Diceros bicornis minor: one gene and its partner. The main gene of each other region encodes a partner of the protein of the gene in region 2 in a complex. Links are inferred from orthologs where the notes say so. Each region holds a gene or a part of one and is shown on either strand. Other genes may lie near its edges.

Region 1 (10,882 bases), on a different chromosome or scaffold from region 2:
ACCCTGCGACTTTGCTGTAGTTGTTCATTATTTCTAATAGTTTTCCAATGGATTCTTTAGGGTTTTCTACATATAAAATCATGTCATCTGCAAATAGTGAGAGTTTCACTTCTTCGTTGCCTATTTGGATTCCTTTTATTCCTTTTTCTTGCCTAATTGCTCTGGTCAAAACCTCCGGTACTATGTTGAATAAGAGTGGTGAGAGTGGGCAGACTTGTCTTGTTCCTGTTCTCGGAGGAGTGGCTTTCAGTCTTTCCCTGTTGAGTATGATGTTGGCTGTGGGTTTGTCACAAATAAGCTTTATTATGTTGAGGTATTTTCCTTCTATACCCATTTTGTTGAGAGTTTTTATCATAAATGGATGTTATATCTTGTCAAATGCCTTCTGTGCATCTGTTGAGATGACCATGTGGTTTTTATTCTTTGTTTTGTTGATGTGGTGTATCACGTTGATTGATTTGTGGATGTTGAACCATCCTTGCGTCCCTGGTATACATCCCACTTGATCATGGTGTATGATCTTTTTAATGTATTGCTGTACTCGCTTTGCCAATATTTTGTTGAGGATTTTTGCATCTATGTTCGTCAGCAATATTTGCCTGTAATTTTCCTTCTTTGTATTGTCTTTGTCTGGCTTTGGTATCAGGGTGATGTTGGCCTCATAGAATGAGTTAGGAAGTGTTCCATCTTCCTCCATTTTTTGGAATAGTTTGAGAAGGATGGCTATTAAATCTTCTTCGAATGTTTGGTAAAATTCACTGGAGAAGCCATCTGGTCCTGGACTTTTATTTTTTGGGAGGTTTTTGATTACTATTTCAATCTCTTTACTTGTGATTGGTCTATCAGATTCTCCATTCCTTCTTGGTTCAGTTTTGCGAGGTTGTATGAGTTTAAGAATTTATCCATTTCTTCTAGATTGTCCAATTTGTTGGCATATAATTTCTCATAGTATTCTCTTATAATCCTTTGTATTTCCGTGGAATCCATTGTAATTTCTCCTCTTTCATTTCTAATTTTATTTATTTGAGCGTTTTCTCTTTTTTTCTTAGTAAGCCTGGCTAAGGGTTTGTTAATTTTGTTTATCTTCTCAAAGAACCAACTCTTTGTTTCGTTAATCCTTTCTACTGTTTTTTTGGTCTCAATTTCACTTATTTCTGCTCTGATTTTTATTATTTTTCTCCTTCTGCTGACTTTGGGCTTTGTTTGTTCTTCCTTTTCTAGTTCTGTTAGGTGTAATTTAAGGTTGCTTATTTGGGCTTTTCCTTGTTTGTTAAGGTGGGCTTGTATTGCTATGAATTTCCCTCTCAGGACCGCTTTTGCTGCATCCCATATGATTTGGTATGGCATATTTTCATTTTGTTTGTTTCCAGATATTTTTTGATTTCTCCTTTAGTTTCATCAATGATCCATTGGTTGTTCAGTAGCATGTTGTTTAATCTCCACAACTTTGTGGCTTTCTCAGTTTTTTTCTCCTAGTTGATTTCCAGTTTCATAGCACTATGGTCTGAAAAGATGCTTGTTATGATTTCAATCTTCTTAAATTTATTGAGGCTTGCTTTGTTTCCCAACATATGGTCTATCCTTGAGAATGTTCCATGCGCACTTGAGAAGAATGTGTAGTCAGCTATTTTTGGATGGAGTACTCTGTATATGTCTACTAGGTCCATCTCATCCCATTTTTCATTTAAGTTGACTGTTTCTTTATTGACTTTTTGTCTGGATAATCTATGCATTGGTGTAAGTGGGGTATTAAGATCCCCTACTATTATTGTGTTGTTGTTAATATCTCCTTTTAGGTTTGTTAATAGTTGCTTTATGTACTTTGGTGCTCCTATGTTGGGTGCATATATATTTATAATTGATATGTCTTCTTGGTAGAGTGTCCCTTTTATCATTATATATTTCTCTTCTTTGTCTCTCTTAACCTGTTTTATCTTGAAGTCTACTTTGTCTGATATGAGTATGGCAACACCTGCTTTCTTTTGTTTGCTATTAGCTTGGAGTATTGTATTCTATCCTTTCACTCTGAGCCTGCGCTTGTCTTTAGAGCTGAGATGTGTTTCCTGGAGGCAGCATATTGTTCGGTCCTGCTTTTTAATCCATGCTGCCACTCTGTATCTTTTGATTGGAGAGTTCAATCCATTTACATTTTGGGTAATTATTGATATATGAGGGCTTGATGTTGCTGTTTTGTCACTTATTTTACAGTTCTTTTGCATTTCCTTTGTTTCTTGTCCCATTTGTTTCGGACTGCCAATTCAGTTTGGTTGTTCTGTCTTATGACTCTTCCAGTTTTCTCTTTGTTTATCATATGTGGTTTTGTTTTGATTATTTGTTTAGTGGTTACCTTGAGGTTTGTATAAAAAATCTTGTGTTTGAGATAGTCCATTATCTGATGGCCTTTTATTTCCTTAAACTAAGGCAAATCAATCTCTTTCCTCTTCCCCTTCTAAGTCATTCTTGTTACAACTTATTCTATCTTGTGTTGTGGGTGTGTGTTTACAGTGATGAGGTTATATTTATTTTTGATGATTTCCTTCCTTTGATCTTTGATTTTGGTATTTAAGTGGTTGCTAACCTATTCTGGTAAAGATCTACTATTTTTCTGATCTTGTCTACCTATTATTCTCCTTGCTCCAAGCTTTGTATTCCCTTTCTCTTCTTTTTTTCAGGCCTGAGGGCCTTCTTAAGTATTTCCTGTAGTAGGGGTCTCGTGGCCATGAACTCTCTTAGCTTTTGTTTATCTGGGAAAGTTACTATTTCTCCATCATATTTGAAGGATATTTTTGCTGGATAGAGTATTCTTGGCTGAAAGTTTTTGTCTTTCAGTATTTTGAATATATCATTCCAGTCTCTTCTAGACTGTAAAGTTTCTGTTGAGAAATCCGCTGAGAGCCTGATGGGACTTCCTTTGTACATTATTTTTTGTTTTTGTCTAGCTGCCCTTAATATTGTTTCTTCGTCATTGACTTTAGCCAGCCTTACCACTATATGCCGTGGAGTGGGTCTTTGCCTGTTGACGTATTTAGGCAACCTATTGGCTTCACTTACTGGTATTTCCTGCTCCCTCCCCAGATTTGGGAAGTTCTCAGCTATTATTTCCTTGAATAGGCTCTCTGTTCCTTTTTCCTTCTCTTCTCCCTCAGGAATACCTATAATTCTTATGTTACATTTCCTAATAGAGTCAGATATTTCTCGGAGACTTTCTTCATTTCTTTTTAGTCTTAGTTCTCTCTCCTCCTCCATCTGGAGCATATCTGTATTCCTATCCTCTATAATGCTAATTCTTTCCTCCATATTGTCAGCTCTGTTCTTTAAAGATTCCACTCCTTTATCTCCTCCATTGTGTTCTTCATCTCCATCAGTACTGACTGGTTTTTCTTTATGATTTCAATCTCTTTTGTGAGGAAACTCCTTATCTCATTGAATTGTTTCTCTGTGTCATCTTGTATTTCATTGAGTTTTTTTATGATAGCTATTTTGAAATCTCTGTCGTTTAGGTTATGGATTTCTGTGCCTTCAGGGTTGGTTTCTGGGTGCTTGTCATTTTCCTTCTGGTCTGGTGATTTCATGTACCTTTGCATCGTGGTTCCTGTATTCGCTTTGTTTTTCCTCATCCTGGAAGTATCTGGTTGCAGTTTTCACCTGCCGCCACCGTGTGGTGGTTAAAAGCTGTGTAATCTGAGCCCCCTGTGCTCTGCCCCGGCTGCTCGCTGGGATCAGTTGGGCTGCTCTGCCTGGTCTGGTCGGCTGAGCTGTAGTGTCGGGCATGTGGGGTGGGGGGTGGGGAGCTCTGTCTTTTGCCCGCTGGGTCCCTGGCATGGGGGGGTTTCTCGCTTGCCCCTCCGTTATCTGCTTTCCTGGAGTGCTCAGATGTTGATGGCACCCCTGCAGCAGTGCTGAGTCCTCTGTGTGGGAGTTTCCAGAGTTTCCCACTGGCTGAGAGAGCCTGAAGAGCTACGGTTTCCCTGCAGAGGGCTGCCCCTCCCTCTCTGGGAGGCGCGGGGACCCGGATTGCTGATCTAATGGGGAGGGAGAGGAGTTCTCCTTACCTCTCCCCACTTCCTCCAGGGGCCCCAACACGTCCACTCTCAGATGTGTGGCAGTGTGGATCTTTCCGATCTTCCTTTTTGCTGTCTAGGAGTCCATTGTTGGTCTGTGACTGTCCCTTTTGTTGTATCTTATCGGGGGAAGAGTTTATGGGAAAGCTCATTCCGCCATGATGCTGATGTCACTCTGCCACCATTTTTAATACATCACAGCATCTCACCAAGTCCTTACCAAAGTCTCCCAGCTGAACTCCCTGTCCCCAGATTCTCACTGATGGCAGCTGGGAGGCAGCAATGCATAGGGTAGAAAAAGTGAGGGCTTTAGAGGTCATCAGGCCTGCATTCTGGTCCAGCCGGGATCCACTATCAGCAACTGGGTGAACTTGTTAGGTTACTTACCTCTCGGATTCATGGTTTCCTTGTGTATAAAATGGCAATACTACTACTATAGTGGCCAAGAAAATGAACTTCTCAGATCTTCTAGTGCAGAGCATAACTGACCAATGGCCCTGTCCCAGCTGCTGGAGCTCTGAAATCTATCCTCTGATATTCATCCCCAGCTTGGTACAGAAGCCAGGTCCTAGGGCTGCTCCTGGTCCATGACTAAGCATAAGAGGCCTATTCCAAAGAGATGCTGGACTCCTGAGACAGGCCAATTTGGCTCAAGGACCTCCTACAGCCTTGCTGAACTTTCTTAGTGCTGCATCCTTCCACCTAACCTTCCTTGCTTGACTCCTTCACAGAGATCATACCTGCATCCCAGGTCCAGCTCCCTGTCCATATTCCCTCATAAATTTCTTGCACAGTGCTCCTGTCTGGCACTGCTTTGGGGAGACTGGGACAGCCATCTACTCACAAGGCTGTTGTGGGTATTAAATAAGTGGGTACGTGTAAGCACCTAGCCAAGGCCTAGCATATAGTTGACACTCATTCGACTAATATTTATTGAGTCCCTGCTCTATGCCAGCTCTAGCCTGGGTGCCTGGGACATAACAGTGAGCAAAGCGGATGGGAACAACGTCAGGGTCACCTGCTTGAAGCTTCTCGCTGACTGCCACTGCTGAGGGATAAAGTCTCAACTCTTCCAGGGGATACAAAGAGCCCTTCCAAGTCTGACCCCAAGGGGCCTCAACACCTCCTAACCCACACTCTGCACCCCTGAACCTACAGTCAAAAGGAACTCCCTTCTTCCCTCTTACAATCTTGCTCTTTCACCCCAAGTGTCTTACCACACCTTTTTCTTCTTCTTGAAATGCCTCCTCCCTGCCTTGTACACACCCCTCAAATGACAAACTTACACATCCTCCAAGACCCAGGTCAATTATGGGGTCCTAGGTCACCCGGGCAGAATCTGCTGGTTGGCACAGATCTCAGCCCGCACCTCGTGAAAGCACTTATTTACACTGCGCTGTAATTGCTGTCACAGTGTCCCTGCCAACTTGTGAGCCCGTCTAGAGCAGCGGCAATGTGTTCATCCTGACTCCCCAGCTCGGCACTTGGTAGGCCCGCAGTACGTTTCTGCGGGGTGAGTAAGTGAATGAGCCGAGGACGGGCGATTTTCCGGGGTAACGGGGGAGCCTGCGGCGAGGGGGCGGGGGCGCGTCTGGGCCTGGCCCGGCTCAGGGAGCCGAAGCGCTGGGGGACCGCCGGGAGCGGCCGCGGCTCTCGCGGACCGAATCGCGACCGCCGCTCCGGGGCACATGACTGCGGCGCCGGCCCCCGCCCCGCCCGCTCCCCCGCGCAGCTGCTGGCTGCTGCCTCCCGGGGCTGCGGCGAGCCCGGCCGGCGGGCGTCACGGCCCTGCGCGCTCCCTCTCTCCCTCCCGAGCTGCGCCAGGCGGGCGCCGCGGCTGCCCCGGCAGGGAAACCGAAACCAAAGCGGCTCGTTCCACTCCTCAGCCGGCCAGCCGGGCGCCCCGCGGGCCCCGCTCGTCCAGCCGCCGAGCCGGCAGCCGCGCGCACCGCCCGGGCCGCGCCGCGGACGCCAGGAGCGGAGCGCGGGCGCCGGAGGATCCCGGCTCTTCCGGCCGGCGCTGCGGCGGCGGCCCCGCCCTCTCTCCTGTTGGGTCGCCGGCCCGGCCCGTGAACGGCGCGCAGAATGGGCAGGTGCTGCTTCTACACGGTGGGGACGCTGTCCCTGCTCCTGCTGGTGTCCAGCGTCACGCTGCTGGTGTCCCGGGTCTTCCAGAAGGCCGTGGACCAGAAGATCGAGAAGGTGAGGCGGGGCGTGTGTGTGTGTGTGTGTCTTCGAGAAGGTGAGGCGGGGCGGTGTGTGTGTGTGTGTGTGTGTGTGTGTGTGTGTGTGTGTCTTTCCTCGCGCACCCGCGCGTGCCGGGGGCGCTTGCAGCCCACCCTCCCCCTGCTGAACCTTGTGCGGGGAAGGTCTGCTCCCGGCGAACTCGCCCCACCAGAGCCCTCCTTTCTTCCTTGTCTTCTTGGGGTTGGTCGGGAAGGGTTAAAGAAGGATGGAGAGCAATGGAAATGACTTGTCCTCTTTATAATAACAAATAAGACTGTGGATCTAGACTTTTTAAAAAGGCTTTCACTTATATTTTATCATTTGCATCTCCCCCCTCCCAGGCCTGCCCTACACCCCAATCTCTGTTGGGCCCAAACTCGTTTCCCTCCCACTTCATGAAGAAACAAAACTAAGTGAAAGACACCACAGAGGAGGCAGGTTTGTTGGCTGCTTGCTGAGGCCTTTGGAGTGGTGTAGGGCTCCGGGTGAGAAGTGGGTGTGTGATCTATTGTGTGCTTGCCTTCCTGGGCCGGGCAGGGCAAGGCAAGGCGGTTGGTAGCTCTCTTAGGCCTTGGGGCTGGGTGACATTTCAATCCGTCAAAGTCTGTGCTTACCCGGCCCCACCCCCTAACCCCCCACTTAGCAGCTTGGTATCTTGTACCAACAGTCTGGTTGCTTTGTCTCACTACCGATTCTTGCTCTTCTCAAACAGCCATTCGCTTCAGGCGAAGATACATTTAGATTCTTAAAAGACTCTGAATCTGTCTCTTCTCCCAGATGGGTGAGTTAGAGAGCTGGTCATTTCAGAGACTTCTCCATTGTTGACTTCACCAGTGGTCGTTTCTTCTGCCCTTTCACCCACACCCACCAATCCGTGTGGAAAGAGGAACAAAAGAGAGTTACTGGGATCACTTTTTCCTTTAAAAAAGAAAATCACTGGAGCAGCCTTCCGTTAGCACCCATAACCGCATGCTTAGTTTCTCCCCCTGGCTTGTGCTTGCTGTTGGCCGGATAAACAAGCTGCGGCCTGGTCCAGCTGGATCACTGCACTTCCGGTTAGTAAAGTTGTCTTGTTCCCGGTGGCAGCACATATCCCTTTAATAGTGGTTACCAAAAGCCATCAATTACGTGAAATCTGGCAGCTAAAGGCAACTTAAAACAAAACAAAACAAAAAATAGTCATGGCAAAGCATAATATAATTTTTTAAAAGTTCACATTGCCAAGGGAAGATGAAGCCGACTGCCGGAGCCTCTCAAAGACTGTTGTTTTCCCTGAGCACTCATGTTTAAGGAAAAGACTAAACTGAACCTTCTCCACTCCTGTCTACCTGCAAATCCATGGCGAGATTGTTTAAGGATGTAAACTCTTGACTAGAGTTCAGCTATCCAATTATGCTCCATATGTGACTTTTCTTGTGTGGCTTTGAAAGACTGTTTCAGGAGAGCCCTGTGAGAAGAGTGATCTTTCCAGTTGCCTCAGCTCTCACCAGCCCTCAGATGCCCTGTGAGTCTCCATTTCAAGGGGGGCAGGGGGGTGGCTGTAGGGCAGCTTGGCTGGGGCTTGAGTTTGCGTTGATATTTAGTGATTGGCTTCCATGTGGTTTTCTCCAGGAGAAATGGACTCTGACTAATAAATTATAGTACAGGGGAGGTGGACTTTCAGAATTGCCCAGTCCCATTAAGGAACACTGCACCATGTGGTGTATGAAACTCAATGACAGGGCTAGTTTCAGTGGACAGGTGGGAGTATTGTGAGTCAACCAGAGGTCACACATGCCATCATTATCATTCAGATCTCCTGGATCACCTGTAGGGAGGTAGCCTGGGATAGTGGGACAGAGTGAGGACTTTGCAGGTCAACACTCCTGGGCGTGAGTCCTGGCCCCACCATGTACTAGCTGGGTGACCTTGGGCCAGGCACTTCACCTTTCTTGATTCTCAGTTTCTCCATCTATAAATGGGGATAATAACGACTCATGGAAATAGAGAGGTTATAAGAATTATTAGGGAAAATGGGTGTAATTTTCATGAGATATAGTTAGTGTTTTGTAAATGATAACAGTTTTATTTTTGTTAGAAGCCACATAAGCAAAGAAAAAATACATAAGATTTAAAGTCAGACACACTATGTTCAAATTCTAGCTTTGCCATTTACAAGCTTTTTGACTCCAGGCAAGCTACTTAACTTCTCTGAGCCTCAGTGTTATTACTTGGAAAAGAGAGGATGTTAGCTATCTTGGGCACAGCACTGCATTTACCATGAAGCTCACAACGCTGAAGTTTTGGGCTCTTCACTTGCACAGGCCCTTCCAAGACCCTGTACCTAATTCTGTATCCAAAATTATCTTTTTCTTAGGAAGGGCTTCCTTGCATTGTGTAAGCTTCACACAAACCCGGGATCTGCCTCTGTGTGTGTGTTACTGTGAGACTGAGTGAGGTGGTCTGTGTAAAGCCCTCAGCACAATCTCAGGCCTGGAACGGGAGATCAATTTTGGCCACCATCCTTATTTCCATTAGTATTATCATGGAACAATTCACTCATACCTTGACTTTAATATAGTTGTAATATAATCCACTCTGATACTCCCAGTTCTTAGTTTTCTCATTTGAAGATTGTTCATGCCCTGACTTGTCTCCATTAAAAAGAGAAGAAAGAAAAGGGATGAAATTCACGTGAGTAGCTTTGGCTAGTTCTGAGAAGCTTAGTAACATAATTCCTATCAGAAGAATTTGCCTCAGGTGATAATTGTCCTTGAGCCCTGCAGTGAACAGAGGTGACTGAAGGGAGATTTTAATTCTGTCCAGTGAATGGCGTAGAAGGAACCAAGACAATTTGGTTCCATTCTTGGCTTCACTGGTTAGTGCCTTGTTTTGGGCAAGTCCTGTGATTGTTTCTGCTTCAATTTTCTCTATTTCAAAAGAAGCCCAGTAATGCCTCCCCTTTGTCTGTCCATACCCTTTTCCTGAGGGATATTCTGAGCATGAACCAGGCCTTCTCTGTCAAGTGTTTGGACCTCCCTAAAGACAGAGCTTTGCAGAAACCCAGCACTCTCTTTTCCTCCAGAGAGCCTGGAAGGGCAGGATTGTATGTTACATTTCATTTGGTAACCCCGCTAGTTGTCCTGGTACCAAGCACAGTGCCTGTGCATGGAGGTACATGATAAATGCCTGTGGCCTCACTTTGTTCGTTTTAGTTGAAAGAACAGTGTCCTGAGAATCAGCAGAGCTTGGTTAAAATTCCCTTTTCTGTCACTAACAAATACTTGGATTAAGTTGAACAAGCCAGGTGGCAAATTATTGAACCCCTTGAAACCTTAGTTTCCTCATTCTGAAAACGGGGGTCATAAGAATCCCTACCTTAGGGTTGTTGCAAGAGTGAAATAAAATGATTGATGTAAAGCATCTGGCACAGTCCTTTCCACAATGCCTGAATGTGGACGTTTGTTATTGCTTCTGGCTATTCTTTTCTCAGCTAGAAATTGAAGCTTATACAATAGATAAGTTTCCTTCTAGCTCCTGGTTTCTGAGATTCTATGAGACAGGCATGTGACCTTTGCTTGAGAGCAAATGTGCAGCTCAGGATATTAAATTTGCACTTAGACTTGAACATCTCCCAGAAATGGGGACGCAGAGCGGGCCAAGGTCAGGGCTGGCTAGTTAGGAGATGGGCTGGCAAGGGAACCAGTGAGAGGGAAGGAGACTGTTCACATTCTTCCTTTTCAAGGCCAAGGAAGGCTGATAGCATTAGGTCTCAGGAGTGGGAAGAGCAGGGCAAATAGACTTGCCCTTTGCCGGAACCTAAGGCTCTGGGCAAGCGAGTACCAGCTGGCCAAGTTTGGAGCTGTTCTATGGATGCCTCAAGAAATAAAATCTAGTCAGTGACAATTTAACCAAATAACAGTGATTGGTGAATATGTGGGGGTCTTCTTTTTTAAAGTCGAATTGATAAAACATCTTCATTGTTGTTTATGTAAAGACAGTCAACTCTATATAATCTTAAAGGGCTCCTTGCATATCTACCTCATTTCCTGAGTTGCTTCTTTTCGGAGTTATGAAGACATAAAGTCTTAGAATAAGAAAAAAAACCTTAGGCATCACTTAGTCTGTTATTTTACAGTCAGAGAAACTGAGACTATCTCAGTTTTAAAATGAATGATGGTGGGTATGAAATCACCTTTATATTTCTATGACACTAGAAACATAGTGACTTATGAAGGCAAATAGAGAGGTAGGGGTAGGGTTAGCCGTGCAAGCTGGGTCTCCTAATTCATGGGTTTCCCATCCTGAGGATACCCATACGTCCCATTGCCTGTGACAGTCCTGGTTTATTTATACCTGTTGTCCTGGCAGAATTGCTAGCACCCTCTTTTCTTTTCAAAGATTCCTGGTTTGGAAAATAAATTCTGTCCTCACATACCGTGCTGTCCTGCACTTCTTGGCACTAAACAGGAACAATGCTCTCTAAGGAGCTGAGGCCCACTCAAGCTAGCTCAGGAAAGAGGATTTTTTTCTTTTTGTAAAGCTGGAAGAGGAAGCTTATAGAAATCTGAGGGCAAGAACCACAGCACAGTGAGGCCGCGTGAGAGTACAGTAGA
Region 2 (10,242 bases):
CCCCTCTGGCCCTGAGGGCAGCTCCCATCAACCCCTCACCTAAGAAGTCAACCTCCGCATTGCCCAACCCCCCCAGAACCCTTGCCAAAGCTCTGCCCTAACTCTCCAGGCCTCGAGCCACGCTGCTAGACATGCCCTGCCCACCTGCCTCCCAACCCAGCATTGGGCATTTAGGGGTTTTCTGTGTCTCTGATGCCATCTAGTCACTTCCTGTCTAGATGGTGCAAGAGGGACAGGTGTTCCTCTCCCAAGGTTCCCACCTTAAACACCTTCCTGCTCCCTCATTTAGGGTGACGTAAGCCCAATGCAGGAGATGCTAGGCCTGGCGTGGAGTGGGAGCACCTGCCCTCCACTCACCTGAAGTGGCCAAGGTGGTAGAACATGGGCTGTTTGTAAAACGTGTCCTTGGTGATGTCCACGATGATGGGGCTGTCAACAAAGTTGCGCACCCAGTTGGGTCCCCCTTCGGGGTTCAGGGCAAGGTTCCAGTCAGTCCAGCCAACCACATGGTAGAGGAGGTTCTAGGGTGGGGACAAGGCAGAGAGACAAAGGCTCAACACTGGGTCCCCAGAGAATGGAGTTAAGGGTCACATGAGGGAGACGGGCTATGGTGCCTCAGCCCTGTGACGGGACGCTCTGTATCCTTAATATCTAAGGAGAGAGGGATTGTGAGGATGAAGACATCACAAGAGAAGCTGAGAAATCCGAGGCAGATGTAACTGCCCGAGACCCAAGCATTCGGGAAAAGGGTGATGGGGTGTGCAGATCTATGAAGGGAAAGCAAGACAGGGAATCATGATATCCCCAAATTTGCCCCAGCGAGCAAGCCATCTGGGGAAAAGTTGGAGAGGAGGGCCTTCTGTCAGCCTGTGGTGAGACCAGGAAGGGCTCTGAGGTGGTCTGCTTTGTGGAAAGGGAGACAGGTGGCTCACCGTGATGATGCTGTGGCTATACTGCATCCCTCGATCCCAGGAGCCTAGGCGCACACTCTGCTCCCAGAACTTGGAGCCCACACAGGCCTCTGAGGCAAAGAGCGTGGTGTTGGGGAACAGGCGGTGTGTCTCCCCCAGCGTGGCTTTTGCTGGAGCTAGAAAGTCCAGGTACCAATGTACAGCGATACCATGAACGTACTTAGCTGCCTCTGGGTCCTCCAGCACCTGTACAGGAAAGGGGAAGGACACCTGGGGAAAGGGAGCCACTGAACCTGGCCCCTGCACGGAGGGTTCTGGAAGAAGGACTAGGTGACCTGAGACATGGGCGGTGGGATGAACACAATTAGAAGGGATTAAAGTGACAACCGGGGGATCCATGGGGCCCTGGCGATCCCAGAGCAAGTCTCCATCCCCTCAGCACCACAGGGGTGGTACCTGGCCCCAGCCTGGGGTGCTCTAGGAATGAAGAGCAGGAGAGGCACTCTGTTCGAGAGCCAGTCATTTGGATGCTGGATTTGGGGGTCACTAGGGTACCCATGGAGGTCCTGGGCCTTACCACTTGGGCCCAGCGGGGCAGCAGCAAGCGTTGGTCATCCAGTATGAGCAGACGGACATTGTGGTGCGTACTGTTGGCAAGGGCAGGACCCAGGTCACGGGCAATGAAGTCTCGCTGGTGTTCAGGGGTGAAGCCCAGGCACTGGAAGGGGTACCCGCTAATGAGCCCTGCAGAAGGCTCGTTCTCAGCTGTCACTGCCCAGAACTGTAACTTGTGCTCAGCATAGGCATCCAGGAACCTGGCAGGAGGAAAGGTGTGAGTGGCCAAGAAAGGGGACCAAGACTGGAGAATAGGAGGCCTGATAAGGTGGGGAAAACTGAGGGGTCCGAGTCTGAAAGGCCCAGAAGGTAGAAAGACGAGGTGAGGAGAGTCAGATCTGGAGGCAGAACCAGGTCGAGGGTTGGGACATAGACCAGGGTGTCCAAAAGGGGAGGTTGATTAGACCCCATGCCCTTGCTGCCCCCTTACTTGACAAAGTATCTGGCCCAAGTCTGGTGGTAGAGATCCCCTGGCTGACCCTTGAGTGACCCCTTCCCATTCACTTTCCCATTGGTCTTGAGCCAAGTGGGTGATGTCCAGGGACTGGCGAAGAGTGAGACAGGGCGCTGGGCCAAATTCAAGGCTTGGTGAATCAGGGGTATCTAGAGACAAAGGTAGTGAGGAGAGAGACACCCAGAGTTGGAACATAGACAAACTGGCCCAACCAGTGCATCAGGCCTAGCCATCAGCCTCCGCCCTCCTACCCCCAGGACAAAACGGAGAGCAGAGGGCAGGTTCTATGTCTCTCTGCAGGCTGCTCTAGCCTGAGGCTTCTCAACCACCAGGCATCAATGCCACCAGGGCCTGAGGCAGCCAGATTGCCCACCTTGAGTTTGACATCTTCCTCTGGGAGGCTGAAGTTGTGCAACTGGAAGTCATCAGGGGTGTCGGCATAGGTGTATATGCGGATGGAGAAGTCACAGCTGGCCATGGGTACCCGGATGATGTTGTATTCGATTCCTGCAGAAAAAGAAGACCAAGATACAGGAGTCTGAGTCAATAGGAGAATGTGGGACCTGGCCTACCACTTGCCAGTACTGAATTACATCTGAGTCAGACCAAAGGGAACTTGGGTTGGGGCCTGTGGAGCCAGGCACATGGGTGAAGCACAGGCCCCCAAGCCTGAGAGTCGCCAAGACTCAGTGGAAGATGTGTAGGACATTTTTATTCCACTGGGCATTAGGAGAGGACCCAAATGTTAGGGATGGGTGGAAGTCAAGGTCAAAGGAAAGGACAGGGTCAACTGCACTGTGTCATCTTGCCCCCTCCTCACCTTCTTCAGAGAAGTACGATTTGAGTAGCAAATCCTGGGCAGGGGGTGACAGGGCAAGGATGTTGAGAGCAGCAGCATCTGTCATGGCCCCTCCAAATCCCTTCACTTTCTGGAACTTCTGATCTGGCTGCAGGGTCAGTAGCAGCCCTGGGGACATCCACAGGGAATAAAGGGTGTCAGTGCACAGGGGAGAAACTCCGTGGTGGTTGCTGGCATGATTTAGTTCCAGCAGGATTGAGCCTGGCTCGAGGTGAGGGGTGTAGTGGTCACCTGTGCCCGTGCGGTTGGCCTGGATGGTCCCCTGACTCAGCTCCATTCGGCGGCCACTGCGTGTGCTCTCATAGCGGCTGAAGGTGCCAGTGGCAGGCAGGGTCAGGGGGTCAAGAGAGTCACAATACGTGGCATTGCAGACACAGACCACTGAGCTGTAGCCAAAGCTTTTAGGGCTGCATGGGCGGGCACCTGGAAAGGAGGAAGCACAAGCAGAGGCAAGGGCTGAGGGATGAAGATGGGGTGTAGGCGCACACAGGTTGGAAAGCGAGACCCAACACTGGTTTCAAAAATCCTCTTGCTGGGGCTGGCCCTGTGGCATAGCGGTTAAGTGCGCGCGCTCCGCTGCTGGCGGCCCGGGTTCGGATCCTGGGCGCGCACTGACGCACTGCTTGTCAGGCTATGCTGTGGCGGCGTCCCATATAAAGTAGAGGAAGATGGGCACGGATGTTAACCCAGGGCCAATCTTCCTCGGCAGAAAAAGGGGAGGATTGGCATGGATGTTAGCTCAGGGCTGATCTTCCTCACAAAAAAAAAAAAAAAGGAAAAAAAAAAATCCTCTTGCTGTACCCTCACCCCAAGGTTGGTCTCAGTCACTCCAAAGGGTTGCTGAGCACCTGCTGGAGTGCACCACCAGTATGCCAGAAGGCTCACAAAGGCCCATAAGGCAGAAGGGAGCCTCGGGCTACCTCCTTCCTCCTTGACTCACTCACCTGATGCCCACGAAACTGCCTGAAGTAGAAGCAATCCCATGAGGCTGGCAGCCATGATGCCTACCCGGCCCAGGTGCTTGAGACACTCCTGAGAACAGAATAAGAAGCGGCTAGAAGGCAAGCCCCTCTCCACCCTTCAGCTACTCTCCCAGGCAGGGCTCGCTGCCTGTGGGCACCCAGAGCCTAGTGTCCCACCTTTAATAGGGATGGAACAAGGCCCACAGACACCTGAGTGCAGCCCTCCCTCCAAGCCCCCTGCTAGTGAAAGCTCTCTGCCCACCCCCACCAGGACCCGCCTCCACCCCTCTTCTCACCCATTTCTCCCTCGACGTCCCCCCATCTGTTCCTCCATCAAAGAGCCATGATGGCCTGGGTTCGAGGAGAGTCTGTCATTCACTGAATTCCAGGGCCTGGATGGCCAGGATTCCAGAAGCAGCGTGACAAGACCAATTGGGAGCCCTGGCCCACTCACCTCTATGGGAGGACTTGAAAGCTCTACCACTAGATGAGAAGTCTGCAGGGTTCCCGAGCCTCAGCGGGATAGAGGATCCACTAAATAAAAACAGAGATGCAGGTACCCGCGGTAGCTACTGACACCAGATTAGCCCTTCGGGTTAATTCCGGCATAATAGAGTGGACAGGTCATGTGATGACGACGGGAGAGTCACATGATACAGGAAATGAGGCAATTGCAACCATACTTGTAAAGGGCTACTGGCTTCTTCCGGGCTGTTGGCGATTACACACTCTATGATAAATTCTGGAAGGCTTGTGTGGATGACTACTTTAGGAAGAATCTAGATCAAAGATCTGAGTGGAGGCTTGGGTAGAGACTCCTGAATCCCATAGGATGGGAACCACAGCAGGCACATTGCTTTCTTGAGAAAAAATTTTAAATACTAATACAAGTGATACTAATAAAAGAAGTTCACTGTGCAAAATACTGAAGTCAAAATACTGAGAGGATTAAGACAGTCTTTGCCCTATAGAGGCTCATGAGGCAGGGGAGTCATGTGATTACACGGATAGTTACAGATAAAGACAAAAACAGGTAACAGGTGTGCATGGAGGGAGGCTTCATTGGGGGGAGTTGTCCTGGAAGGCTTCCCGGAGGAGAAGGGGCGGGGATTATTAACCAGCGAAGTCCAGGGAGGATGGGCCCTAGGCAGAGGGAGGGCCTGACTGAAGGGAGGGAGTCATCAACATGGCGCCTCTCGAGACCTCCATTCTTTCATCATCAGATGCAGCTTGTCGTAACTGTTCTTCCTTTCTCACAGGACAGGGAGGTTGTGTAAAGTAGTTCAGAAATTGGAAAGGGTTGCAGAAAGCTGTATCCTCCGTGGATAAGAGAAGGGGGTGGTCCATGCCTCATGCCTCATGGACCACATCACATATGACTTAGTGGTTGTGACACAACCGTGACCTGACAACTCCAGCTCTCTGAGCCTGCTTCCTCACCTGTAAAATGGAGGCAGTCCCACACCCTCATGGGTCATTACCAGAATCTGTGAGATGAGCACAATGCCTGGTGCATAGTAGGTGCTTGGGAACCGCCTGTTTGTTGTTTTTGTCTCTTTGTTTTTTTTTTTTTTTATAATTTTATTTATTTATTTTCCCCCCAAAGCCCCAGTAGATAGTTGTATGTCATAGCTGCACATCCTTCTAGCTGCCGTATGTGGGACGCAGCCTCAGCATGGCCAGAGAAGCGGTGCGTCGGTGCGCACCCGGGACCCGAACCTGGGCCGCCAGCGGTGGAGCGCGCGCACTTAGCCGCTAAGCCACGGGACCGGCCCTGTCTCTTTGTTTTTTAAAATTATCTCAGTGAGTCTTTTCCTGACACACTCCAGGCAAAATGGATCCTCCCTTCTTCTAGGTTCCTATAGCACTTAAGTATATAGTCTCAGATGAGCTGGATTTGAATCCTGGCTTCACCATTTCCTAGCTGTTTGACCTTCAATAAATTACTTTAATCACTCTAAGCCTGTATTTCTCATCTCTAAAAGAGGAGTGATGACTCCTACCTCCTGGAGTTGCTGTGAGGTTTAAGTACGATAATGTGTGTGTCTAGCACAGTGCTTGGCACGAAATATTGCAACCAGTTAGGTCTGTGTTTATGGAGGGAGCTTGGAGTTCCCTCCAAGGAATGTCTTACTCATTCTGTGTAGACGGCCTGGCACAGAGTGGGTAGGTGCCAAATTGTTGAACTGAATTGAACCATCATCACTATGTCAGTATTGGCCCCATCTGGACTTCCTGTTTTTCCAGGAAATGTTACGCAGGGCTTGTTCTCTGAAGGAGAGCAGGTGATATCTAGTACCTTACTTCCCTTTAGTTCATTCACTCCACAAATATTTATTAAGCACATACTACATTTGCCCCTGCCTGCTCTGTTGGGTGTAGAGCCCCCCTCCCCTCCCTGTTTCGCTCTGCAGGCACAGAGTTTGTGAGTCTCTTGTTTCTTCTTTTTATCCTTCAGTTTGCAAAAGTTTTCCAGAGTGGATACCATCTCATCGTTCAGATTTCTCTCACAATGTGATTTGCTCTTGAGGCTTTTATATTTTATTTTCTAAATAAAGTTGGTTATAATAAGGGCCAATATTTATTGAGTACTTATTCTGTGCTATTTTATGTTCATTGTCTCATTTCATTCTCACAAGGCAGATACTATTATTTTCCCCATCTTAGAGAGGAGGAAGCTAAGACTCTGAAAGGTCATTAAATTGCTCCAAGTCCCTTGGCTACTCAGTGGCAGAACCTGAATTCATGTCCAGAGTCCTATGACACACATCACACATTTAATGAGTGTCTCCAGTATGCCAAATGCCATGCTAGGCGCTGGTTATTTTCAGAAGCTGCTGTGCTGGTCTACAGTGTTCACTTTGTATTGTTTTAAAATCATCCTTTGTTTTTATGGAGTGTTTTACCTGCCCAAGATGAAGCCCAAGTTGGCTTCTGAAGTGCTGGCTATGTGGCAACATTTCTGGATCCATGTCCTCCAAGGGTATTAGTCAGGGGATACCAATTCAATAATGAAACAAAATCCAGAACTCCCAAGTTGGACAAGAATGATTGATTTTCAGTTGGGGAGGGGGGGGCCCTGCCTCCATCCCTGAGCTTCACTCTCCCCACCCTGGGAGATCTCAGCCCAACAGCCCGAGCACCCCCTTTTCATAGCAAGTATTTTCTAACATACTCTTTACTATCCTGAAATGAATGTATAGATGAGATGACTTACCTACACACATAATTTAGAAGAAAAATAATGGGACTATTTTATTATTATTTTTTTCTTTTTTTGTGAAGAAGATTAGCCCTGAGCTAATATCTGATGGCAATCCTCCTCTTTTTGCTGAGGAAGATTGGCCCTGGGCTAACATCCATGCCCATCTTCCTCCACTTTATATGGGACACTGCCACAGCATGGCCTGACAAGCAGTGCGTCGGTGCGCAGCTGGGATCCAAACCTGCAAACCCCAGGCGGTCGAAGCGGAGCACGAGCACTTAACTGCTGCGCCACCGGGCCGTCTGTAATGGGACTATTTTTTTATAATAAAATATGTTTTCAATAAGTAAATGCTGGGGCCGGCCCTGTGGCTTAGCGGTTAAGTGCGCGTGCTCCGCCACTGGTGGCCTGGGGTTCGGATCCCGCGCACCGACGCACCGCTTCTCTGGCCATGCTGAGGTCGCATCCCACATACAGCAACTAGAAGGATGTGCAACTATGACATACAACTATCTACTGGGGCTTTGGGGAAAATAAAAAAAGGAGAGGATTGGCAATAGATGTTAGCTCAGAGCTGGTCTTCCTCAGCAAAAAGAGGAGGATTAGCACAGATGTTAGCTCAGGGCCAATCGTCCTCAAAAAAAAAAAAAAAGTAAATGCTTAGGCACGATTACCTAGAACACATAATGTAGTCAGATCTTACACTAACCTAAATGGAATAAATTAATATTTAAAAGAAGCAAAAACAGCCCGTGAATTAATAAATAATTTCAATGTCATTTTCACTATACGTAATTTTCACAACATGTAATTATCACTGTGCTGCAAAAACAAAAAATATATAAAAGTCAAAATGGTTAAAAGTCAATTTTCATGAATAAGATTCAGTACATTCCACATGTCTACAAATTTAATATTTGATTCTAAGCCTTGGCAATTCAATAAGGAAAAGGATAGTCTTTTCAACAAATGGTGCTGAGACAACTAGGTATTCACATGCAAAAAGATAAACTTAGACCCTTACCTCACTCCATAACCAAAAATTAAAGCAAAATAGATCATAGACCTAAATGTAAGAGTTAAAACTATAAAACTCCCGGAAGAAGGCATAGGAGTAAATCTTCGTGACCTTGGATTAGGCAATGGTTTCTTTTTCTTTTTTTTTTAAACAACAATAAACATTTATTATCTCACATCGTTTCTGTGGGTCAGGAATTCAGGAGTGGCTTAGCTGGACAGTTCAGATTTGAGGTTTCTCATGAGACTGTAGCCAAGATGTTGGCCAGGGCTGCAGTCATCTGCGGGCTTGACTGGGCCAAGGCTCTGCTTTCAAGATGAGCCACTAACTAACAGAGGTGGTGAACTGGGGCTGGCCGTTGGCAGGAGGCCTCATTTCCTCGCCATGTGGACTTATCCAAAGGACTGCTTCAGTGTCCTCACATCATTCATGGCAGCTGGATTCCTCCAGAGTGAGTGATCTAAGAGCAAGGCAGAAGCCACAACGTCCTAGGATTGCACATTATCATTTCTGCGATATCCTATTGGTTACACAGATCTTCCCTATACAGGGTGTGTGGGGTGGACAAAACAAAGGCGTGAACACCAGGAGGTGGGGAGCATTTGGGGCCATCTAGGAGGCAATCTGCCATAGTCCACCCTCTGGCCCCCAATAAGTCATGTCCCTCCAACATGTAAATACCCTTACCTCCTCCCAAAGTCCCCAAAAGTCTCATCTTATTATAGCAAAAGTCCAGAATCTCATTTGGCAATGGTTTCTTATATATAAATCCAAAACACAAGTGACAGGAGGAAAAAAAGATAAATTGGACTTCATCAAAACAAAAAGTATTTGTGCTTCAAGGATGCCATCAAGAAAGTGAAAAGACAACCAACCCACAGAATAGGAGAAAATATTTGCAAATCATATCTCTGATAAGGGCCTAGTATTCAAAATATATGAAGAACTCTTACAACTCAATAATAAAAAGATAACCTAATTTAAAAATGGGTGAAGGACTTTTTTTTTCCTGAGGAAGGTTCACCCTGAGCTAACATCCATTGCCAATCCTCCTCTTTTTTGGCTTGAGGAAGATTAACCCTGAGCTAACATCTGTGCCCATCCTCCTCTATTTTGTATGTGGGTCACCGCCACAGCATGGCTGATGAGTAGTGTAGGTCCGCGCCTGGGACCCAAACCCACAAACTCTGTGTGCTGAAGCAGAGCACGCCGAACTTAACCACTATGCCATGGGACCGGCTCCAGGGGTAAAGGATTTGAATAGACATTTCTCCAAAGATAATATACAAATGGCCAACAAGCACATGAAAAGATGCTCGACAACCTTAGTCATTAAGGAAATGCAAATCAAAACCACTATGAGATATCACTTCACATGCCCAAGGATGGCTATAATCAAAAAGGCAGACAATAACAAATGTTAACAGGATGTGGAGAAATTACAATGCTCGTATGTTACTGGTGGGAATGTATAATGATGCAGTCACTTTGGAAAAGAGTTTGGCAGTTTCTCAAAATGTTAAACATAGAGCTACCATATGACCCAGCAATTCCACTTGTAGGTATCTACTTAAGATGAATGAAAACATAGGTCCACACAAAGACTTGCAAGTGAATGTTTACAGCAGCGTTATTCATGGAAACAACATAAATGTCCAACAGTTGGTGAATGAATAAACAAATTGTCGTATTTCCCTACAATGGAATACTATTCAGCAATAAAAAGGAACAAAATACTGATACATGCAACAATGAACCTCAAAAACATTATGCCAAGTGAAAGAAGCCAGCTACAAAAGATCACATATTGTCTGATTCCATTTATATGAAATTCTAGACTAGGTGAATGTATAAAGACAGGAAATAGATTAGTGGTTGCCTGGGGCTGGGGTGGGAATGGAGATTAACTGTTGTACAACTCAGTAAATTTACTAAAAAATCACCGAACTGTACACTTACAAGGAGAGACTCTTATAATATGTAAATTATACCTCAATTAAGCTAGTAAAAAAATTTATTACATATGTGCAGTCAGTTCATTGCTTTTGCAGGAAGTGCACTACTGCACTGAAACTCTTTTCAACTAAACATATTACATAGTTGGAAATGCTCTAATACACTGAGTAGACAGATGCAGTACTTTCAAGACAATGTATTTTATTTAAGCTTCCTTCTCTATAATGATCTCCTAAATTATTGGGCTTTGTCCAAAAAATAG

The links. The genes of interacting proteins can lie anywhere in the genome.
Region 1: the proteins of GBA1 (region 2) and SCARB2 are in contact, whole or in part, in a cryo-EM structure (PDB 9FJF), measured with the Homo sapiens proteins. The link is inferred for Diceros bicornis minor from reciprocal best matches to the Homo sapiens genes GBA1 and SCARB2. Residues at the interface, in NP_000148.2 of Homo sapiens: Leu130, Asn131, Ala134, Ile169, Glu190, Lys194, Leu195, Pro430, Arg434, Ile445, Thr446, Asp448; in NP_005497.1 of Homo sapiens: Lys161, Ala162, Tyr163, Gln164, Lys181, Glu183, Leu187, Phe191, Arg192.

Annotation. Positions count from the first base shown.
Region 1 is NC_080747.1:61,700,605-61,711,486, reverse strand, and holds the start of SCARB2 (lysosome membrane protein 2), read left to right. Parts: upstream 1-5,848; 5' UTR 5,849-6,146; coding exon 6,147-6,263; intron 6,264-10,882.
Region 2 is NC_080743.1:59,105,865-59,116,106, forward strand, and holds the start of GBA1 (lysosomal acid glucosylceramidase), read right to left. Parts: upstream 4,640-10,242; 5' UTR 4,256-4,639; intron 3,954-4,255; exon of another isoform or gene 3,872-3,953; 5' UTR 3,839-3,871; coding exon 3,784-3,838; intron 3,263-3,783; coding exon 3,071-3,262; intron 2,948-3,070; coding exon 2,801-2,947; intron 2,488-2,800; coding exon 2,354-2,487; intron 2,130-2,353; coding exon 1,957-2,129; intron 1,727-1,956; coding exon 1,489-1,726; intron 1,158-1,488; coding exon 933-1,157; intron 522-932; coding exon 358-521; intron 1-357. UniProt on the Homo sapiens protein: Glucosylceramidase that catalyzes, within the lysosomal compartment, the hydrolysis of glucosylceramides/GlcCers (such as beta-D-glucosyl-(1<->1')-N-acylsphing-4-enine) into free ceramides (such as N-acylsphing-4-enine) and glucose.